Linked DNA regions of Pelodiscus sinensis. The protein of the gene in region 2 purifies or fractionates together with the protein of the main gene of each other region. This does not show direct contact. Links are inferred from orthologs where the notes say so. Each region holds a gene or a part of one and is shown on either strand. Other genes may lie near its edges.

Region 1 (7,814 bases), on a different chromosome or scaffold from region 2:
CACATATTTAATTCCCTCCTTTGCCAGAGGGAGAGAAAAGATTTGAACAGGGGTCTCCCATGTCTCACAAGAGTGCTCTAACCACTAATCAAAGGCCTATGTTGATGCAAGGCTCCACTCCTCTCCCTTATAGAAGCTGTTCCATTGGGCATAAATAAGTGTGATTGAAGCAGGAAGACTGGATCCTTCAACTTCCACCTTCCAGATAGGTGTCCCAACCACTCTATCAAAACAGCCCTTAGAATTAAAGTTATGTATTTCTAATTTTCAGCTTCTAATTCCTGTGGGGCCCCAAGTCTTCAAGAAACATGAATAGGACATTAAAATATGTGACTCAGTAAAAGATTTTACAGCTCAGTACCAGCTCCTGGTGAACTGCCTGCCACTTTGCATGCAAACATGTACCAGCTGAAATTTTCAGCAGTTACATATTTACTTAAACTATACAATAATCCTGATTAGCCAAAATTTGTAAGTTCACCAAAAATCTTTAACACACGAAGGCTATGTCTACACTGGCATGATCTTGTGCAAAAACTCTTCCAGAAGAGAGCATCTACACTGGCACGTGCTTTTGCGCAAGAGCATCCATGCCAGTGTAGATGCTCTCTTGCGCAAGAAAGCTCTGATGGCCATTTTAACCATAGGGCTTTCTTGCGCAAGAAATTCATGTTGCCTGTCTACACTGGCCTCTTGCACAACAGTTGTGCAAAAGGGCTTATTCCTGAGCGGGAGCATCAGAGTTCTGGTGCAAGAAGCCCTGATTTCCTACAGTAGAACGTCAGTTTACTTGAGCAAGAACTCGTGGTCAAGTTTTTGCACAAGAGCAGCCGCTTTTGCGTAAGAGCACGCCAGTGTAGACACAGCCAAAGGGTAAGTGTGTTCAACTCTCAAGAGATGGCTGGCAGTTTTTGGAAGTGTACCTTCTAGTGTACCACCCACTACTCTCACTTTCCACAAACCTTGATTTAAAGGATGTCAGATGATTTGCCATGCTGAATTCTTTAACCTTACAGTGCAACAGGAAGAATGCCAGCTACTGTTGTGGGGTGAGCTGGCTAGCTTTAAAGAGATTGCATTCTAAGTACAAAGCTATGAGGCCTTTTATATATTGGCTCCTTGTTGTTCTCTGTGGATGGAAAACATATACCAAAGGATAGAATAAAATCCTAAAAGTGTATGTTTAGTAATTAGCTTTACGTGCTTCTGTAAAGAAAGACACAATATTCCAATAAGGTACTTGGAAAAAAAAATCAGTCCCTTCTATAAATACAGTCTGCAGAAGAAAGTTTGAAAAATTGCTTTAAGGAAGACTTCAAGCTCATGCTCTCCAAACATGAGAGTTAAACTTCTGCTTTTATTTTCTGCAACTGGCTGCTTCTTGGAATGACAATATATACTTCTCATATATACCATTTTTCTCTTACACTGCCAACACTAACAAGTCCCATTCATTGAAGGATTGCAGATTCCCTCTTTTGGGGATCAACTTTAAAACTGCTTTTAAAAGCAAAGATGATAAAGGTAGCTCTGTGGATTTCAGCAACATTTAACATTTATTCAAAGTTTGAAGTATCCCTTTAACCTAACCCAAAGCAACTCCTGTCCACAATGATGTTCCCTGTTATTTATGAAACAGCAACATGCTCTGGGATAGTAAAGGAAAAAGTATGAAAAAGACCCACACCAGCACACGTTAATTTAGAAGAAGAAAGGTTGGAGTGTATAGGGAAACCAAAACAAGAGATTATCCTAGGGCAGTTTTATCATAATGGTCGTTTGTTTCCTTCTAAATCTTATAGAAGGCTTAAAACAAAACAAGAGAGAGGGAGAGTCATGTAATCAGGAGAAATCAGAGGGAAACAAGGTCATGTCCTTCTCCACTAAAAGCAGGCATCTGGGCACTTTAAAAACACGAGTGTCCATTTTGTTCCTGTAGCAAGAGACAGCTGTAAGACTATTTCCAACACCTGGTAGTGTTCATTGCACCTGCTGCTCCCCGACAAGGAAAGAGCAACCAGGGACACCCCCCCGCAAAAGTCAGGCTCACGTAGGTGTACAAGGCGCGCAGCTGGCACAGGCCCGCCTCTACCGTAGAGGGGATGCCAAGGAGACTTCAACGCCCAGCGTGCTAAGCCACCGCCTGAGCCCTGTAGAAGAGCTGCAACTACAACTCCCAGCATACGGGGTGAAACGAGGCTCCCGGCCCGTGACGAAGTTTAATCCCACAATGCACTGCTCACCTTAAGACCGCAGACCTCTCCTAAAGAACAGACGTCAGCAGCCTACAAACCCTCCACCCGCACAGCGCGAGGACCGAACGCAAGACGACAAGGACCGGCAGGCAGCGCGAAACCCCCATGCCCAAGACAGATTTGCGCGTTGCATTCTGGGGCTCGTAGTCTACTTAACCACATCATGTGACTCAGCTAGCTCCGCCTCGCACAGTCTATTGGGCCATTTCACCCGTCACTCAAAAGGCGGCCGTCCAATCAGAATCTACGTGCGCCCCGTCATTCGGGTCAAGCGGAGCCGCGATTAAAGGACGCGACTTCTAATCACTCTCTCCCCTGGTCTCCTCTCGTGCGACCCGATTCCGTCTCCTCGCCTGAAAGTAGCCTCTCGCGACTTATCGATACGGCTCCCCTCATATCGCAAGGAGGCCCCCGGGCGCGACCGGCCCAGGCGCAGCTCCTGCCTCCCTCGCCAGCTGTGGGCGGCCCCCTTCCCCGCTCACCTGGGCGGCGGCCGCGGCCCCCGCTCGCTGACACACTCGCAGCATCGTCCCGAAGCGCCGGGCACTGTGCGTGGTTAGCCGCGGGAGTTCACGTGAAGCTGCTGTGTGCGGCAACTCCCCGCAGGGCCCGCTGCCTCCGCCCCCCTCAGCAGCAGTCCAACCCACTGCGCAGGCGCAGCAACTGCCGCGCCGCTGAGGGAAGAGATGGTGACTGGCGGGGCCCTCAATCAGAATATGCAAATACGGTCCCTCCGCAGACAGGAGCCACGCCGGCGATATGGCGCGCTCAGAGAAGGGAGTGTCAGAGGGGGTAGCCAATCGCAACGCCTGATAATACAAGCAGCGCGCAGGCGCAGTGAGGGAAGTGCAGCGGCGGAGTAAAGAGCGGGGTGGAGCTGACGGGAAAGTAACCAAAGCGAAGGGGGCGGGGCTAGCCCTCGGCCCGCGCCTTGAGCTGGGTTGGAGCCTGTCAGCTGCAGCAGGGGCGCGGGACCAGGGGGCGCTGGCAAGCAGTGAAGCCCTCCAAGGCAGCGGTATGGCAGTAGCACCCCACCGCCCCCAGTGCCAGCATCCGCTGAGCCCTGAGGCTGTGTCTAGACTGGCCAGTTTTTCCGGAAAATCAGCCACTTTTCCGGAAAAACTTGCCAGCTGTCTACATTGTGCCAGCTGTCTACACTGGCTGCTTGAATTTCTGCAAAAGCACTGACGATCTTTTGCGCAAAACTTTTGCGCAAAAGGGCCAGTGTAGACAGCTCAGATTTGTTTTGCGCAAAAAAGCCCCCATCGCGAAAATGGCGATTGGGGCCTTTTTGCAGAAAAGCGCGTCTAGATTGGCACGGACGCTTTTCCACAAAAAGTGCTTTTGCGGAAAAGCATCCGTGCCAATCTAGACGCTCTGTTCCGAAACTGCTTTTAACGGAAAACTTTTCCGTTAAAAGCATTTCCGGAAAATCATGCCAGTCTAGATGTAGCCCGCCTGTTTCAGTTCCGGGGGGGGCGGGCCAAGCCCACCCACAGCAGAAGGTCCCTCTCTCCCAGTCTAAGGGGAGATGCAACTGAACCTATTGTGCTCAAAAAGTTTTAGGGTGGGGGGGCGACAACCATGAGCGGCCCATAACTGTCCCCACTCCCTTCTCTTCTGCCGGAGGCAGTGCCTCTCCTCTTCTCTCAAGAGCCTGCCCAGACTACTCCCATTGCTTCCCTTGGCGCCAGTGGCTGGGTGATAAGACCTCAGCCCTGGAGCTCTGGACAGCACTGCTGCAGTGCCCTCAACCCTGGGGCCAGAGCTGTCCTTACTAGTGCTGGTCCCTTATCCAGCCCAACACCAGAATGTACACACACACATGCTGTGGGGTGGGAGCAGCAGCAATGTGGAGCAATGTAGGGAGGTAGAAGCTGTGGGGAGTAGGGGTTTGCCAACTCTCCCAGGCTAGACACACTGTCAGCTGAGAAAGTTGACAACCTTGAAGCGGAGCAAGGAGGGAGGCTTACCTGCAGCATCAGGGCAGGAGGGCAGGAGGCAAGAGACACAGGTGGAGGCCAGAGAAGCAAAGCTGGGTATTTGGGCAGCCAACCAGGAGAGATTCAAATGCTGCCCTGCTGATTACAGAATGCTCACAGCCTGCAACGTGTTTCTGGTAGTGCACATCCACACATGCCTTGATGCACATAAAATTTATTACACTTGTCTACAGAAAAAAAAACAGAACATCGTCTCCAACCCTGATGATCCAGGTGGCCAGCCCCAGATCACCAAGCAACGTGCTCCAAGTGCCCGGCGGCCAGCATGCTCCAAGTGCCAGGAGGGCAGGGTGGCTCTAGTCCAGCCACCAATTCTTGCCAGAGCAGGCTGGCCAACCCCAGCCAGCCAGGGCAGAGTACTGGGAATAACAAGCAGGAGGGGGCTTGCTGGCCTGGACTGGGGAAAGAGCATGAGTGGGGCCACACTAGGCTGTTTTGGAAGGCATGCCTCCCTCTGCATATGATATCCACTGCCCGTGAGGACAGCTAATGAAAAACCAGGAACAGGAGTGAGGTCATATGGCCATGAGCAAGGAACTGGAGAATACCAAGCAGAGAGCCCCAGACAGCATTCACTGTTCCTCAAAAATGTTTAAGAATGCTGGTCAGAGGAACAGAAGTAGGCCCCACAGTCACAGAGCACCTCTCTCTCCAAGATCTTCCTAGTTTTATACATGCTACTTTGGTTAATGCAAGTAGGAGATTAATGAGGTCTCGTGACTTTGTGAGGCCATGGACAAGATGTGCAATAATCAGGAGGTATGGGGAAAATGCAGCCAGAACCTTGGAAAAATGTTCAGGAGGATCCAGAAAAGGGGCTGCAGCCAGGCACACTGCAGGTAAGTATGCACTAAGGTCTTCCTCATGCTGCAGAAAGGACAGGAGTCAGGGTCATGGGTGAACAATGCCAAGTAAATGCCCATGCTCACAGACACCAGCTGATATTCTTGGTGGGCTGTGGGACCAAGGTGGAATACAGACTGCTCCACTGAGGTTCCTAGTCCTCCAAGGCTGGTAGAAAGTCACAAGGTCCCTCACACTAGGACATGAGGAAGAAATGAAATGTATGGAGCACAGCACACAGAAGGCTCAGATTACACATGTGGAATGCTGGTGGAGGGAACTTGCAATGTAGGGATCTTATGAAAAGATCTGAAGTAGGGATATCACCGGTTAACAAGTAAGCATCATCTTTACCGTGTGACTCTTCTCGGTTACCCAGTAAACACCGCCTTTGCAGCGTGATACTTATCTGTTACCGGTTACCTGGTGAACACCACCTTTGCCACGTTACCGGTTAACCGATGCTCTGGTGCAGTGGGGGGCTACTCCAGTCTGGCTGGGTCTACTGCACCATGGGCTGGGGGTACTCCGACCCAACCGGGCTGAAGCAGCTCTCCACACATAATGCAGTGGGCCTGGCTGGAGCAACCTGTCACCCATGGCATAGTAATGACTCAACTACTTGATAAGCCTAGGCTTATTTGGTAGTCAACTACTCGACTATTCGCTTACATCATTATTCTAAACCTATTTATTGTTCATGATGTCCGTGTTTGCTTAAATCTAATAAACTGCAGTGTTAGATAAGAGCATGTTTCCTGGCAATTTAATCACAATTGCTGAATTCCTCTTGATTCCTTACACTACCTGGAGTGAGATAACTAAGCTGTCCCTGAGGTAACAGACTGGAAAAAAATGCTCCCAATAGTCCAGCTATCAGAGTAAAAAAAATGAGCCGTCCTGTAGCACCTGAGAAACTAACAAAAATATAGATAGTATCATGCACTTGAATGGGCAAAAGCCACTTCCTCAGATGAGCTATCAGTAGTTATCAGATGTGCTTCATAGCATCTGCACTTGGTGAGAAGGCTGTATCCTTTCCTTTGCCACTTGAAGATTAGATTAGCAATACCCTCTGTGTACACCTCTCAACTCTTAAATTGTCATGAGCCCAGACTGCGGCTGTCTGCACAGGAAGGGCCTGATCCTGCGATAAGAATGGTAGGGCAATAGACACTGCATGGGATAAATGTCAGCTCATGTGGTTTTCATTGCGAGAATGGGCCTTAGCGTTGTTTTCTCCCAGGGATGCGTTGCGCCCTGAAGCAACAGAGCAGTTTTAGGAAAACAATGAAAGGCAACAGTAAATGATCAGGAAGAGAAGATACAAGTAAGTATGGGTGGGATATACCTGTCCTTCTCATTATAGACGATTCCCCGCGGTCCTGCTGCTGCGTTTCTAATACAAGAACTGCTGTGCTATTACCAGTGGCCAGGCAGGGCGACTGACCCCATGCTGCAACGGCTCCAGGAAGGAACAATTTATTCCGCTTTTACTTCCGAACACTACTGAATTTAGCTAGCCCAGGCGGGTGCGGAGGGGCATTCAAAGCAGCTAAAGAGGCACTAAGGAACCCCGCCCTCGAACACCCGCCCAGAAGCAGGTGGTGGAAGGATTGCTGCCCTGGCCAGCAGGAGAGCGGAGTTCCCCTAACCCACAGAGACCCTGCAGCACAGCTGCTGCACCAGGCGCGCGCAGAGCAGCCGGCGGATGGAACGCCCAGCCGCCCACTCCGGCGCATGAGCAGACACTCGGGCGTCGGGCAGCCAGTGCGTGCGGGCGAGGAAAAGCGGCTTTCCGGCTTCTGTAACCGCTCGTCGCGCGGCCTCCCCGTTCTAATCCCGCCCCCCGCGCGCAGTGTGTCCCTCGCTGCCTGCCGTAGGCGGGCCGCAAACGGCTGGCAAGATGGCGGCAGCTGGTGTGGTACGCAGGTTATCGGGTCAGTGAGAAAGAGACACTGGCGGCGGGCGCCGTCTCAAAGGGGCCTCCTGGTCCGGGGGGAGGATGTAGGCGAGGGAGAGCAGCTGCTGGGGGAGGCTCCTTGCCCGTGGGAAGGATGCAAAGGGGGGGCGCTCGGGAGGGAAGCTGCTGGGGGGGGGGGCGCTCCTAGATCATCGTGGCCCTAAGCCCCTTGTGTTTCTTTGCCTCGTTTCAACAGCCTCTCCCTGCCGACGTGGGGAGGGTGGTTCTGTCTGGGGCAGCACAAACCAGGCACCCGCCTGGCCTTGGTTGATCAGCGACTCCAGTTCTCTGCTGTGGGATTCGGGAAGCTCACAGGGAGGCTCCGCCCCAACTGCACGCAGCTGGGAGAAGGGGGAGGGCACTGAGCATGTGTGGGAGAGGGGGAAGTGTGAAGTAAGGATGTTAAATATCGACTCATGTATTAGTCTAGTAGTCGATGGGCGTTCTGCGTTTCTCCTTTGACATGTACAAGAGCCCCAGCAGGGGCTTCTGCTTCGGAATACACAAGAGTCCCGCTGACCCAGGGCTCCACGTGGCGCTGTTGCTTTGAAATGCTGCACAACATTTCAAAGCAGCAGCGCCACACGAAGTCTGCTCTGTAATACCACCTCCTTCCCCCCCCCCCCCACACACACCCCTTTGCTGCCTCTATCTGATAGAGGCGACAAGGTGCGGGGAGCGACTAGTTGACTCGACTAATAAGCATTTTCTTATCAGATAGTCGACTAATCCTTAACATCCTTAGTGTAA
Region 2 (7,268 bases):
CCCCCTTAATCTTCTTTTTTCCAAACTAAACAAGCCCAGTTCATGAAGCCTGGCTTCATAGGTCATGTTCTCTAGACCTTTAATCATTCTTGTCGCTCTTCTCTGTACCCTTTCCAATTTCTCCACATCTTTCTTGACATGTGGCGCCCAGAACTGGACACAGTACTCCAGCTGAGGCCTAACTAATGCAGAGTAGAGCGGCAGAATGACTTCATGAGTTTTGCTTACAACACACCTGTTGATACAACCTAGAATCATATTTGCTTTTTTTGCAACAGCATCACACTGTTGACTCATATTCAACTTGTGGTCCACTATGACCCCTAGATCTCTTTCCGCCATGCTCCTTCCTAGACAGTCGCTTCCCATCTTGTATGTATGGAACTGATTGTTCCTTCCTAAGTTGGAGTACTTTGCATTTCTCTTTATTAAACTTTCATCCTGTTTACCTCTGACCATTTCTCTAACTTGCTAAGGTCATTTTGAATTATGTCCCTATCCTCCAAAGAAGTTGCAACCCCACCCAGTTTGGTATCATCTGCAAACTTAATAAGCATACTCTCTATCCCAATATCTACATCATTGATGAAGATATTGAACAGTACAGGTCCCAAAACAGACCCCTGCGGAACTCCACTTGTTATCCCTTTCCAGCAGGATTTAGCACCGTTAACAACAACTCTCTGACTACGGTTATCCAGCCAATTATGCACCCACCTTATCGTGGCCCTATCTAAGTTATATTTGCCTAGTTTATCAATAAGAATATCATGCTAGACCGTATCAAATGCCTTACTAAAGTCTAGGTATATGACATCCACCGCTTCTCCCTTATCCACAAGGCTCGTTATCCTATCAAAGAAAGCTATCAGATTAGTTTGGCATGACTTGTTCTTCACAAACCCATGCTGGCTATTCCCTATCACTTTATTACCTTCCAAGTGTTTGCATACGATTTCCTTAATTACCTGCTCCATTATCTTCCCTGGGACAGATGTTAAACTGACCGGTCTGTAGTTTCCTAGGTTGTTCTTATTCCCCTTTTTATAGATGGGCACAATATTTGCCCTTTTCCAGTCTTCTGGTATCTCCCCTGTCTTCCATGATTTTTCAAAGATCATAGCTAAAGGCTCAGATACCTCCTCTTTCAGCTCCTTGAGTATCCTGGGATGCATTTCATCAGGACCTGGTGACTTGCTGACATCTAACTTTCCTAAGTGATTTTTAACTTGTTCTTTGTGTATCCTATCTTCTAAACTTACCCTCTCTCTGCTTGTATTCACTACGTTAGGCACACCTCCAGACTTCTCGGTGAAGACCGAAACAAAGAAGTCATTGAGCATCTCCGCCATTTCCAAGTTTCCTGTTACTGCTTCTCCCTCCTCACTGAGCAGTGGGCCTACCCTGTCCTTGGTCTTCCTCTTGCTTTTAATGTATTTATAAAAGGTCTTCTTGTTTCCCTTTATGCCTGTAGCTAGTTTGATCTCATTTTGTGCCTTTGCCTTTCTAATCTTGCCCCTGCATTCCCGTGTTACTTGCCTATATTCATCCTTTGTTATTTGTCCTAGTTTCCATTTTTTATATGACTCCTTTTTTATTTTGAGATCATGCAAGATCTCCTTGTTAAGCCAAGCTGGTCTTTTGCCATATTTTCTATCTTTCCAACACAGCGGAATTGTTTGATTTTGGGCCCTTAACAACATCCCTTTGAAATACTTCCAACTCTCCTCAGTTGTTTTTCCCTTCAGTCTTGCTTCCCATGGGACCTTACCAACAAGTTCTCTGAGCTTATCAAAATCTGCCTTCCTGAAATCCATTACCTCAATTGTGTTGGTCTCCCTTCTATCTTTCCTTAAGATCATGAACTCTATTATTTCATGATCACTGTCCCCCATACTGTCTTCCACTTTCAAGTTCTCAACTAGTTCCTCCCTATTTGTTAAAATCAAATCCAGAACAGCTTCTCCTCTGGCAGTTTTTTCAACCTTCTGAAACAGAAAGTTGTCTCCAATGCAGTTCAGAAACTTATTGGATAGCCTGCGCCCCGCTGTGTTAGTTTCCCAACATATGTCTGGATAGTTGAAGTCCCCCATCACCACCAAATCTTGGGCTTTGGATAGTTTTGTTAATTGTTTAAAAAAGGCCTCATCCACCTCTTCCACCTGGCTGGGTGGCCTGTAGTAGACTCCTAGCATGACATCACCCTCATTTTTTACCCCTTTTAGCTGTGTAGAGAGTCTCTGGGTTAAGCTATCTCCTACGTTCATCTCCACATCAGTCCAAGTGTGTACATTTTTAATATACAAGGCAACCCCTCCTCCCTTATTTCCCTGTCTGTCCTTCCTGAGCAAATGAACCTCTACTTCTGATAAGAGGAAAATGCCCTTGCATATTAAAAAAGAAACAAACATCCTTTTGCGGTGGCAGGGAAACAAAAGCACACTAGGCGAGTCAAATCATCCGATGCATGTGTTTCTCTCTGTAAGAGGCCAGTGAGGGGACACACGTTGTTGACAGCAGGCTATTAAAAACTCTGAGGTTTGCCTCGCAACATTTCCAAAGCAGAACGCACAGAGCGGGACGCCGCGCCGCGTGGTATCGTTCCTGCAATAGAGAATCCAGCTCCTTAAACACCATAACAAACCTTCCTCCGACCGCATCATCAACAGCATGGTCACCGCGCAGGTAGCAGGGCCTGGCCCTGCCTACGGGACGCGGCCAGACTGCACGAGAGCCGGGTCTCGCACCCTGCGGCCGGAGTCGGGAACGGGGAGCTGCGCAGGGCCCACTGGCTTTTGCCTCCTGCCCCGCCGCGAGGCCCATCTCGCCCCGAACCCGGCCTGCCTCGTGCCAGCGCCCCCCGCCCCCCAGCGCCTCCTTCCCGCTACCTGCTATTTGAGACACAAACGCCTCCGCCACCAGCGACATGATCCCTGCGGCCGAGCCCGCCCGCACCAGGCGCAGCCGCGGCCCCGCTTGGGCTCGGAACGGGCCCCGCAAGGTTAAGGGCACGCGCAGGAACTAGGAGCCGGCCTGGCAGCGCCGGGGCAAGTGCATCCGGGGCCCGCTCCGCCTCCCGGGCCCGCCCCTCCCGCAGTGCCGCCTGGCCCGGCCCGCGGGCCCCCTCCCCGGAGTGCACCGACACGGCAGCCAGCGCCTGGCCTACCCTGGGTCATCCCCGTATGGTCCGTGCTGGGCATCACCCCACCAGCAGCCCCTGCTGCACAGGCTCCTATGGGCTGGGGATCACTTCCCTCTCCCCCCCCCCCCCCAGCCCCTGCTGCACAGGCTCCTATGGGCTGGGGATCACTTCCCTCTCCCCCCCCCCCCCAGCCCCTGCTGCACTGGCTCCTATGGGCTGGGGATCACTTCCCTCTCCCCCCCCCCAGCCCCTGCTGCACTGGCTCCTATGGGCTGGGGATCACTTCCCTCTCCCCCCCCCCCCCCAGCCCCTGCTGCACTGGCTCCTATGGGCTGGGGATCACTTCCCTCTCCCCCCCCCTCCCCCAGCCCCTGCTGCACTGGCTCCTATGGGCTGGGGATCACTTCCCTCTCCCCCCCCCCAGCCCCTGCTGCACTGGCTCCTATGGGCTGGGGATCACTTCCCTCTCCCCCCCTCCCCCAGCCCCTGCTGCACTGGCTCCTATGGGCTGGGGATCACTTCCCTCTCCCCCCCCCCAGCCTCTGCTGCACTGGCTCCTATGGGCTGGGGATCACTTCCCTCTCCCCCCCCCCCCAGCCCCTGCTGCACTGGCTCCTATGGGCTGGGGATCACTTCCCTCTCCCCCCCCCCCCCAGCCCCTGCTGCACTGGCTCCTATGGGCTGGGGATCACTTCCCTCTCCCCTCCCCCCCCCAGCCCCTGCTGCACTGGCTCCTATGGGCTGGGGATCACTTCCCTCTCCCCCCCCCCCCCAGCCCCTGCTGCACTGGCTCCTATGGGCTGGGGATCACTTCCCTCTCCCCCCCCCCCCAGCCCCTGCTGCACTGGCTCCTTAGGGCTGGGGATCACTTCCCTCTCCCCCCCCCCCAGCCTCTGCTGCACAGGCTCCTATGGGCTGGGGATCACTTCCCTCTCCCCCCCCCTCCAGCCTCTGCTGCACTGGCTCCTATGGGCTGGGGATCACTTCCCTCTCCCCCCCCCCCCAGCCTCTGCTGCACAGGCTCCTATGGGCTGGGGATCACTTCCCTCTCCCCCCCCCTCCAGCCTCTGCTGCACAGGCTCCTATGGGCTGGGGATCACTTCCCTCTCCCCCCCCCCCCCAGCCTCTGCTGCACAGGCTCCTATGGGCTGGGGATCACTTCCCTCTCCCCCCCCCTCCAGCCTCTGCTGCACAGGCTCCTATGGGCTGGGGATCACTTCCCTCTCCCCCCCCCCAGCCTCTGCTGCACAGGCTCCTATGGGCTGGGGATCACTTCCCTCTCCCCCCCCCCCAGCCCCTGCTGCACAGGCTCCTATGGGCTGGGGATCACTTCCCTCTCCCCCCCCCCCGCCCCTGCTGCACTGGCTCCTATGGGCTGGGGATCACTTCCCTCTCCCCCCCCCCCAGCCCCTGCTGCACTGGCTCCTATGGGCTGGGGATCACTTCCCTCTCCCCCCCCCCCAGCCCCTGCTGCACTGGCTCCTATGGGCTGGGGATCACTTCCCTCTCCCCCCCCCCAGCCCCTGCTGCACTGGCTCCTATGGGCTGGGGATCACTTCCCTCTCCCCCCCCCCCCCCCCCCAGCCCCTGCTGCACTGGCTCCTATGGGCTGGGGATCACTTCCCTCTCCCCCCCCCCCCCAGCCCCTGCTGCACTGGCTCCTATGGGCTGGGGATCACTTCCCTCTCCCCCCCCCCAGCCCCTGCTGCACTGGCTCCTATGGGCTGGGGATCACTTCCCTCTCCCCCCCCCCAGCCCCTGCTGCACTGGCTCCTATGGGCTGGGGATCACTTCCCTCTCCCCCCCCCCCCCAGCCCCTGCTGCACTGGCTCCTATGGACTGGGGATCACTTCCCTCTCCCCCCCCCCCCAGCCCCTGCTGCACTGGCTCCTATGGGCTGGGGATCACTTCCCTCTCCCCCCCCCCCCCCCAGCCCCTGCTGCACTGGCTCCTATGGACTGGGGATCACTTCCCTCTCCCCCCCCCCCCCCCAGCCCCTGCTGCACAGGCTCCTATGGGCTGGGGATCACTTCCCTCTCCCCCCCCCCCAGCCCCTGCTGCACTGGCTCCTATGGACTGGGGATCACTTCCCTCTCCCCCCCCCCCAGCCCCTGCTGCACAGGCTCCTATGGGCTGGGGATCACTTCCCTCTCCCCCCCCCCAGCCCCTGCTGCACTGGCTCCTATGGACTGGGGATCACTTCCCTCTTCCCCCCCCCCCAGCCCCTGCTGCACAGGCTCCTATGGACTGGGGATCACTTCCCTCCCCCCCCCCCCCAGCCCCTGCTGCACAGGCTCCTATGGACTGGGGATCACTTCCCTCTCCCCCCCCCCCCCAGCCCCTGCTGCACTGGCTCCTATGGACTGGGGATCACTTCCCTCTTCCCCCCCCCCCCCCAGCCCCTGCTGCACAGGCTCCTATGGACTGGGGATCACTTCCCTCTTCCCCCCCCCCCAGCCCCTGCTGCACTGGCTCCTATGGGCTAGGGATCACTTCCCTCTCCCCCCCCCCCCCAGCCCCTGCTGCACAGGCTCCTATGGACTGGGGATCACTTCCCTCTTCCCCCCCCCCCAGCCCCTGCTGCACTGGCTCCTATGGGCTAGGGATCACTTCCCTCTCCCCCCCCCCCCCCAGCCCCTGCTGCACTGGCTCCTATGGGCTGGGGATCACTTCCCTCCCCCGCCCCTCCCCCAGCCCCTGCTGCACTGGCTCCTATGGGCTGGGGATCACTTCCCTCTCCCCCCCCCAGCCCCTGCTGCACTGGCTCCTATGGGCTGGGGATCACTTCCCTCTCCCCCCCCCCCCCAGCCCCTGCTGCACTGGCTCCTATGGGCTGGGGATCACTTCCCTCCCCCGCCCCTCCCCCAGCCCCTGCTGCACTGGCTCCTATGGGCTGGGGATCACTTCCCTCTCCCCCCCCCCCAGCCCCTGCTGCACTGGCTCCTATGGGCTGGGGATCACTTCCCTCTCCCCCCCCCCCAGCCCCTGCTGCACAGGCTCCTATGGACTGGGGATCACTTCCCTCTCCCCTCCCCCCCAGTCCCTGCTGCACAGGCTCCTATGGGCTGGGGATCAGCTCCCACATACACAACCCCTTCTGCATAGGCTCCTATGGATGGGGGATGAACTCCGCCCCCGCCCCTCCCCACACACACATACACAGCCCCTGCTGCACAGCCTCCTATGGACGGGGATCAGCCCCCTAGTCCCCCCCCCCCACACACACACACAACCCCTGCTGCACAGATTCCTATGGACTGAGGATCAACTCCCTCCCCGTTCCCCCATCACACACACACACAGAGCCCCTGCTGCACAGGCTCCTATGGACGGGATCAACTCCCCCCTCCTCCTCACACACATAGCCCCTGCTGCACAGAGGCTCCCTTGGACTGGGGATCAACTCCCCTTCCCCCACACACATATACAGCCTCCTGGGAACTGGGGATCACCCCTCCCCCACACACAAACCATGTAATCTGCTGCTGGGCAAAGGCTCCCACAGATTGGACAGCAACCTCCCCCTGTTGCCGCCACACTCACATACATATACTACAGCCCCATGCTGCACAGAGGCTTCCATGGGCTGAGGATCAACCCCCTACACCAGGGATGGGGAACCAAAGATCTGGGGGCTAGATGCAGCCCCTGGATTGCCTGGTGCTCCAGCCCCCTCTCCCCATCCACCTACCTGAGGGGCTGGAATACACAAAATCTACTAGTCTGGGGCCCATCAGGCTCTGGTGTGTGAGGAGACTGTGGGTAGTATCTTTCTCATTCTCATTTGGGGGCCACATCCTGAAAAAAGTTTCCTGCCCCTGCCCTACACACTGTACAGGTCCATGCTTGGCAGAGGCTCCCAAAGGCCTGAGGATCAAACCTCTCACACACTGCACCCCTTAGTCCTGTAGTTCTTGGATGTATCTGGATCAAACACAACATACCACATTAAACTGCAATGGCTCCATATATGGGGATCAGTCAATTGTAAGCCTTATTTAGTATGCAGTGTTATCATAGCCATGTTGGTCCCCAGATAGTAGAGAGACAAAGTGGGTGAGGTAATATCTGTGGTGAGACAAGCTTTTGTGCTTCCACAGCTCTTCTTTCAGGCCTGGGAAAATGA
Region 3 (7,899 bases), on a different chromosome or scaffold from region 2:
GACCAAGTATCAAAACTTTAGACTGGAGACACAGCACAATCTGACAATACCTGTAGTAGACTTGGGTTTCCCTTCTGCAGCTTGTGGTGGTGATGCAGTGTCATAGGATGAAGAAGAAAAGGAAGATGGTCTCTGGTCTCCTTTAAGTTGAGGAGTTTCCTTCATTCGATTCACTACATCTTCAGAGAGCTAGAGCAATTTGTTGGGGAGATGTTAAGTGAGTCAATTCTTGATTTTTATTCTTTATTAAGTGGAGTCACCAACAGGTAATTATTTTTAATTCTGCTTATGTTATTTTAAAACATTATTTCAGATCAATGTATCTGTTGTTCAATTCACATTTAGAAAATATATCACATCAGGAAGTTATGGAGTTCCAGTAACCGAGTCTAAGGCTAGACTGGACAAAGAACTGAAGAACAAGCTATAAGGAACAATCCTGTACACAGTGTGGGAGGAGGGTGGGAGGAGCAGGGAAGGATCATTATCTAGCAGATCTTCAGTTCATACTTTTGTAAGTCTAGGAAGAGTTTTTCACAAAACAATAATGAAATGGAAGGGACAAATGTGTCTTATCTCATACTTTGGCAAAGTAGAAAATACATGCAAAAATGTCCTGGGAATTCAATTCCAAGTGTCTTTCTGCCCTTGCCTTTGATGGCATAGACAGGGCTTACATGTCTTTTGATTTACCTGTTCTTATTTACACTTCTTCTGAGTTATCTGATTTAATCTTGTACTAGCCACTCCTCCCTAGTGGACAAAATTGAAGGGTACTCAATTTCAGTGTCCCATGGACACACTTCAGGGCATAAACCAGAATATAGATTTTAAATTTGCTGCTAGTACCCAAAATAAGCAGCATGTTAACATCTTGATTGCATATTGTGATAGTCAGTTTGGTCTTAAGACTTCAACTCTATTCCCTTCTGCTATAAATGAAACACACACAGTAGGCTATCAGCAGATCCCTGGGAACACAGCTCCAGACATACAACATGCACTGCAAAAAAAGAGATAGATAATTATGATGTTTTAGCTATGACAAGGACAAAATTATCAACTCTACAGAAGTGGGTGTACTTCCTTGAAAGAAAATGAACTGTCAACACTAGTTATAAAGCATCTGAGGTTTTTGTAAAAAACAAAGTAATTCCCTTAGAGTTCCAAGAGTGATGAAGCCTATTTCATTTAATAAAAGCTTGCGACTGGATTCAGCTTTGTAATTCAAATGAATGAGCTAGGGAGGTCCCCATTCCTTTAGCGTGAGCTCCTATAATGACAAATATCAGGGCTCCCTCCATTTAACCTCAACTCCTAGAGATCAATGGAATGAACCAATAACCATGAATCAACAATTTTCTTTAATTCAACCACATTCAGCTGAGCAGCAACATAAAATTAACAAGGCAATTCATTTTGTTGTGTAGTTTGTTCATGGAACTGAACACTAAATGGGCCCAGCTAAACAGCAGCATAGAGAAAATTGATTAGGTTTAGATTCTACTCTATATCAAAGATCTGCAACAGGAATCTAAAACAACACTAGTCAGATCCTTATGATTGGAAAGATATGAACATTCTTATCTAGTCTCACTCAGCAGGCCGTTTCACACTGAGCTAAGCAAATAGGCAGCCAAAGGGGATACAACTGGCACAAAGGAAATAATGCAAAATTGCAAAAAAAGTCAAGTAACAGTAAAGAAATAAGGAGACAAATACAAAAGAGAAAAATGCAACCTAGAGACATGACCAACTGTAGCTCAAAGAAAACTTTAAAAACAATGACTAATCTAGCAGCACCTTAAAGACTAACAAAACATGTAGATTAGTAATAGAGACGTAGCAGTGTTAGTGTGGTCTTGCTGAAACAAAAGACAGTATCTCAGACATTAACCTCCCCTCTCCCTACACCTCCTGCTCTAAAATCTGATTTGTCAATTTTATACGTGTTCACATTTTTTTTTGATTGTATCCCTTTGGTATATATGGTCATGCCAATTTTCTTCCACAATTTGATCTGAGGAAGTGGGTCTGGCCCCCGAAAGCTCATCGCCTAATAAACTATCTTGTTAGTCTTTAAAGTGCTGCATGGTCCTATCTTTTATTAAAGCATGTAGATGGTATCGTGAACTTTTGTGGGCACAGAAATGGGTTGTGCCCACAAAAGCTCATGATACCATCTACATGTTTTGTTAGTCTTCAAGGTGCTGCTAGACTATTTGTTGTTTTTTCCAGTTACAGACTAACTTGGCTACTACCCCTCTGAAGCCTTTGTACCTTTAGGGTATGCTATGAGGAGGCAAATGGGGCTGCCTTCCTAAGATCCAATTTTAACCACTCCCTGCCCAATACTACTGGAGATGCTTTTAATCTTCACTCTCAACTCCTATGCCCCTATATACAGTATCTACATTGCACCATTCACTATAGTGCCCAGGTGATATTAATTAAATGGTGTTGGTCTCATCCCTTGGATGCTCTCTGAGCCAGTATCTCAGCTGCCACCTCCTGCCTTTAATGTCAAATCTTCTCTAACCAGAGTGCAGAATGGATTAAACAGCTGGGGGGGGGGGGGGGGGGGGAGGAATACCTTGTATCTCACTAAAACAGACCAGTTCCATAGCTAGCTATCGCTCCCTAGTCCCAGCACCGCTCCCCCTACTACTCCACCCAGCCCCTCTCCTCCACCCCAACTCCACCCACCTAAGGCCCCTCCCCCACCAAGCTTCCCTCTCATCCCCAGCCCCTCTCCCGCCCCCACAGCCTCTCAAGCCAGCTGCCTTCTCAGACCCAGCCCGGCTCACCCTGATGCCCTGCAGCACCCGCACTCGCTCCTGCTCATCCAGCCCGAAGGAGACTTTCCTGTTCCCGTAGCTGCTCTCGCTGCCCCCCATGCCGGCGGGGCTGGACCGGAGTTATCCCGCTGTGCCCCACACTTAGGCTGGGGCAAAGCCTCCTCAGCTACACAAACTCTCCCTAGCCCGCCTACCAACAAACCCACGTCTCATTGGTGGCTGGCAAGGAAGCAGCCAATGGAGAGATATGTTGCTGGCGTTGGCCCGCGGCGCAGGCTGGGAAATGTAGTTTGGTGCTGGGGGATGTTCCGCCAAGGGCTCTCTCTGGATAGGGTTGAATTAGAGAGCCAACCAAGGAAAGCAACGGGCATGAGAGGGGCGGGACGGCCTAGCTACTGAAAGCTTTTCTCAGGCCTGAATTAGCCACTGGGTATTAGAGGCTGAGCTTGAGGTCCTAGTCTCCCACAAGCTCCCTGGTAGGCAACCCCCAACCTTCCCAGAGGAGCAGAGCTCTGCTGTAGAACAATACTGTGATCCCCCAAGCTTTCCACATCATGAGCTGGGCAGGCCTCCAACATAATAACTTGAGGGTTTTTTTTTTAAATAAGTAGTTGGTTGGGCTATTGCTTGTCTTCAGAATTCTTAGCCTTTCAGTTCACTTGCATGGATTTTCTGCATCCCTACAAGGTCTTATAAACTTCCATTAATTTAAAATGGGGGCTCTTCAGGCCCATATGCAGGAATTTCGAGGGTATTGTGTGCTTTTTTCCCCAAAATGTGAATTGCAAGGACGTGAACACACCTCATCTCCATGGCCCCCCAATTAAGTATTGGTTTAAGTTGTTAATATATGGTACAGCCATCAAGAGCACTGGGTGGGTGCCTATACTTTTGAAATATAAAGAAATTACTGAATACATAGGGATGTTAGAAGAATTAGCTAGTTCATAAAAAGAAAGATTTTTCTGATATTCATCCTACCTCTTCTCTTTCTGAATGTTGTCCCCTTACTTCTCTTGCTGTTGTGCAGCACAGTAGTAGTTGTGTGGTCCCATTATACTAGAGACAGACAGAATTTGGTCCAATAAAATATTGTTTCACCCACCTTGTTTCTCTTTGTGCTCACTGTATAAAAGGTTGCCTTCTCTCCTGTATCACAGTGATTTAGATGGAATTTCACTTGGTACCTTTTCTTACACACATTGTTCATAGCTATTTCATTTGAAATTTTTTTTGGCAATTTTGGAACTCAGACCCACCTGGAATATGTAACATTTGGGGGCAGCAGAGGGGAAACACAGCATGCTGAGCTCAGTTTGACCACTTCCTTTGAGTGTGGTTGTCAAGACACTTGATGATATTTTTATATCCTTTTCAAATAAATGCGAAATATAGTAAGGCTCCCACTTAAGCTATTATCATTGTCATAAAGAATGCCCATTGCTTTTATGAGGGTGCCTTGATTTTTAATCCAAGTTGCCACCTCTCATGGTTTTATTGTGAGTCTCGTGTTATCTGATGTTCTTAAAGTTCTTGGATTCATGTGATTACAAGAGAATATCAGCGTTCAGGTAGAAAGAAGATTGGTTTCTAGCTACTATTGCTGAAGAAAAAAATTGAAAAACCTGAACCCTAAAGGCCCTAACACCAAATGGCAAATTAAAAGCCAGCCTCCCCTCCCCATTTAAATCTTAATTATTTTTAAGCCAACATCATGATTTTGAAATTTGATGTTAGTAATGCTTCAAGCTGCACTGCCATCTAAAAGTCTCCTCGCTTCAATATTGGGGAAGGTTGAAAACAGAATTCTGTTTGGGTCAAATGGCATCTTTTTGCAGAGACCTAGCAAAACTCAGTGTCTGTCTTACAACATGTACCTGTAGATGAACAATAGTTTTAGTTGCACACAGTTTAGTAGAACGCAATGTTAACTAGTAGGTATTCTGTGCATACAGTGATCAAATTGCACACCATTTATTTTGTTTAAGGCTTCATTTCCAAAGAAGAAGGCAACAGGTTTATTCTGTAAACATGTGTATGAACTTACTGTATCCATTGTTGTATTGCAAAAAATAATTAAATGCCTTTGCAACATGGATAATTTGTACATGTATACAAATAGCTAGGAGCCAATTGCAAACATGGGAGCTTTGCAGCCTTCTTTGAAAATCTGGCACCTGAACAATGTTTTAACTCATATTAAGGCAACTAACTCAAACATTGCAGCTTATAACAGTTAATGTAGCGTTTGGGTCTTTTGGTGCTCTAGATTCTGGTATTTTAGGATGAGTCTACACTGCAGCATAGCTCGAAATAAGATATGCAATTTGAGCTATGCAACTTGCATATCTTATTTCAACTGCATTTCAAAATAGCTTATTTTGTAATTTAAATTCAAAATAGCCAGTTATTCCGAAACATCCCTTACTCCTCATGGAATGAGGCTTACAGGGATGCCGACATAATAAGCCCATTAGATTTCAAAATAAAGGGCTGGCTGTAAAGATGTAGGACAGCCATTTTAGGATACTCTGGTATCCCAAAATAGCATTGCAGTGCAGACGTAGCCTTAGAGGCCGAGACTGGCTAATTGGCATTTCATTGCATGTGCAAAACCAGAGCACACTTCTGTGATCATTTCTGATTCTGATGGCACCCTTTTAACTGACATTACATTGCAAAACGGGTGTAATAGGGCCTACTGGAGTGCAAAACAAGAACCCCGGGGGCTAGGAACTAAGGATGTTAAGGACCAGTCGACTATCCAATAAGCATTTGCTTATCAGATAGTTGAGTTGACTAGTCGATTTCCACTAGTCAGATAGAGGCAGCAAAGGGGGGAAAGAGGGAGTATTTCAAAGTGGCAGCACCGCACAGAACCTGTACCCTGGGCTCCACTCAGAGGCTGCAGCTTTGAAACGTTGGGCGGCATTTCAAAGGGGCAGTGCCGCACAGCTGATCCTGGGCTCTGTGCGGGGCTGTCCCTTTGAAACACTCCCCAGGTGACCCCAGGCTCTGCAGGGCATTTCCACAGAACCTGAGGTCAGCTGGGGACTCCCCCGCTGATCCCAGGCTCCAGCACAGCAGTTCAAAGCATGCAGAGCCTGGGGTCAGCAGGGGAGTCCCCAGCTGATCTCAGGTTCTGCAGAAATGCCATGCTGAGCCTGGCGTCAGTCCCCAGCTGAACCTGGGCGCTGCATGGCATTTCCATGCAACCTGGGATTAGCTGGGGACTCCCCATCTGATCCCAAGCTTCAGTGCAGCATTTAAAAACGCATGGCATTTCAAAGCAGCATTGCCACATAGAACTCTGAGTCCCCCGCTGACCCCAGGCTCCATGTGGGCGCTTCCACTTTGAAATGCGCAAGAGCCCGGGGACTCCTATACATTTCAAAGGAGAAATGCGGAAGTGCCTATCAAATAGTCAAGTAGTCAATGGAAATTCCATCCACTACTCAACTAGTAAATTAATTGTTATTGAACATCCTTACTAGGAACAGGACCTGGCTTTGTAGGACTTGCAATGCTGGGCATGGGCATGGGCAGGGCAGAGGAAAACACGGAATCCCACCAACCAGAACAGGAGAGAGGGGTGTTCCACACAGCTGGGCTGCAGAGCCCTGGGAATGAAGACACACCGGAGAGGAAGCGCAGCTCGCAGTGTGGCTCTGGGTGGTCTCTGGAGTGACACATACTTGTGTCCCAAGGACAGGCAGTAGCTCAGAAGAGAGCAAGCAGCAGCAGTGACTGCAGCTCTGCTCCCCAGGACCTGGCCTGTGAGGAGGGGATACATGGGGCTTACGGTGCCTTTGCCTTTGAAGCTCCTTAGCACAAGCAGTCCCTGCCCCGCCCTACGCGGGTATGGCATTGAAGTGGTGCCTGGTGCTGGCTCGCTGACCACAGGGGCAGAAGGCTGCAGGGAGAGCCCCAGATGCCCAGCCCTACCTCTGACCTAGCTCCTGGGGTGAAGGGGCAGGAAAATCAGCCCCAGCCTTCCCCTGGCCAGCCAGAGCACAGGGAAGGGAGAAGTGGGCAGTGCGCCCCTCCCGCCTTCCCCCGGCTGGTTGGAGCACAGGGGAGGGGGGTCGGGCAGCGTACTGCTCCTGCCTTCCCCCAGCTGGCCAGAACATGTTTACTTGAGGGATCCTGGGAAGTGTGTTTGCACCCTGCATATGGGCCTGCTCTTATCTAGTCTCTTGATTGCAGTACCTGGGGCTGTATGACAGCATATCACCAACAGGCAAAACCATACTTTGGACCTCTAGAGCTTAGTGCATGAACCTCTATGGCTTGAACTATCAAGGCAGCTGGCTCTCAGCTAAGGCTGTAAAGCAAACTCCAACTTTATAGCTAATCTATTAAAAAGCCTCCATCACCCAAAGAATGATTCCACAAAGCAGCTAAGATTCCATGTCATTCTATCTATAAATTATGGAACCATGCAGTGGTTCTCAGTCAGAGAAACATGTACTATTGGGTTTAATGCAGAGATTTTCCAGAGTTTATCAACTCTTTTAGATTTTGCCTAGTTTTACAAGCTACATAGAAAGCTCTATGAAATCAGTTCTTCCTAAAATTTCATACAATCATTTGTTTATATTGCTCTATATTAAACATCAAAATGTAAGGGCAATATGTACACTCCAGTCAATTGGTTTTTTAATATACGGTAAAAATAAACCATTTTTCAGTAATGGTGTGAGGTGACACCTGTGTCTGATTTTGTAAGCAAGTAGTTTAAGTGAGGTGAAACTCGGGGTATGCAAGGCAAACCAGACTATTGACAAGAATACAGTAGTGTGGCATGGTTGAAAGCCACTGCCTCAATAAACCTATACAGAAGCAGTTGTGGGGACTTTTATAGGAGGCATCGCTAGATGTGGGATATTTGTTGAAGTCCACAGTAATGTTAAGCTAATTAGATAATGCAAGTTATTACTACTCCTTTATCAGTCCATGGAAAACAATGGCAAATCTCTCAGGCTAGGTCTACACTACAGTATAGGGGGGTTTTTTCAGAAAAAAGCTATGCAAATTACTGCAATCTGCATAGCTTTTTCCAATCACTTTTCCAGAAGAGGTTTTTCCGCCATTTGGCCCA

Evidence for each region. The genes of interacting proteins can lie anywhere in the genome.
Region 1: the proteins of MTX2 (region 2) and IMMT purify together in Homo sapiens (co-immunoprecipitation; 5 studies listed by BioGRID and IntAct, counting the BioPlex papers as one, with this or other methods). This does not show direct contact. The link is inferred for Pelodiscus sinensis from reciprocal best matches to the Homo sapiens genes MTX2 and IMMT.
Region 3: the proteins of MTX2 (region 2) and CHCHD6 purify together in Homo sapiens (co-immunoprecipitation; 3 studies listed by BioGRID and IntAct, counting the BioPlex papers as one, with this or other methods). This does not show direct contact. The link is inferred for Pelodiscus sinensis from reciprocal best matches to the Homo sapiens genes MTX2 and CHCHD6.

The regions. Positions count from the first base shown.
Region 1 is NC_134715.1:122,618,672-122,626,485, forward strand, and holds the start of IMMT (MICOS complex subunit MIC60), read right to left. Parts: upstream 3,014-7,814; 5' UTR 2,783-3,013; coding exon 2,738-2,782; intron 2,381-2,737; exon of another isoform or gene 2,244-2,380; intron 1-2,243. Other genes in the region: MRPL35 (large ribosomal subunit protein bL35m), read left to right, coding at 6,842-7,041. UniProt on the Homo sapiens protein: Component of the MICOS complex, a large protein complex of the mitochondrial inner membrane that plays crucial roles in the maintenance of crista junctions, inner membrane architecture, and formation of contact sites to the outer membrane.
Region 2 is NC_134717.1:44,842,306-44,849,573, reverse strand, and holds the start of MTX2 (metaxin-2), read right to left. Parts: upstream 3,061-7,268; 5' UTR 2,929-3,060; coding exon 2,889-2,928; intron 1-2,888. UniProt on the Homo sapiens protein: Involved in transport of proteins into the mitochondrion.
Region 3 is NC_134721.1:24,267,952-24,275,850, forward strand, and holds the start of CHCHD6 (MICOS complex subunit MIC25), read right to left. Parts: upstream 3,014-7,899; 5' UTR 2,898-3,013; coding exon 2,808-2,897; intron 190-2,807; coding exon 51-189; intron 1-50. UniProt on the Homo sapiens protein: Component of the MICOS complex, a large protein complex of the mitochondrial inner membrane that plays crucial roles in the maintenance of crista junctions, inner membrane architecture, and formation of contact sites to the outer membrane.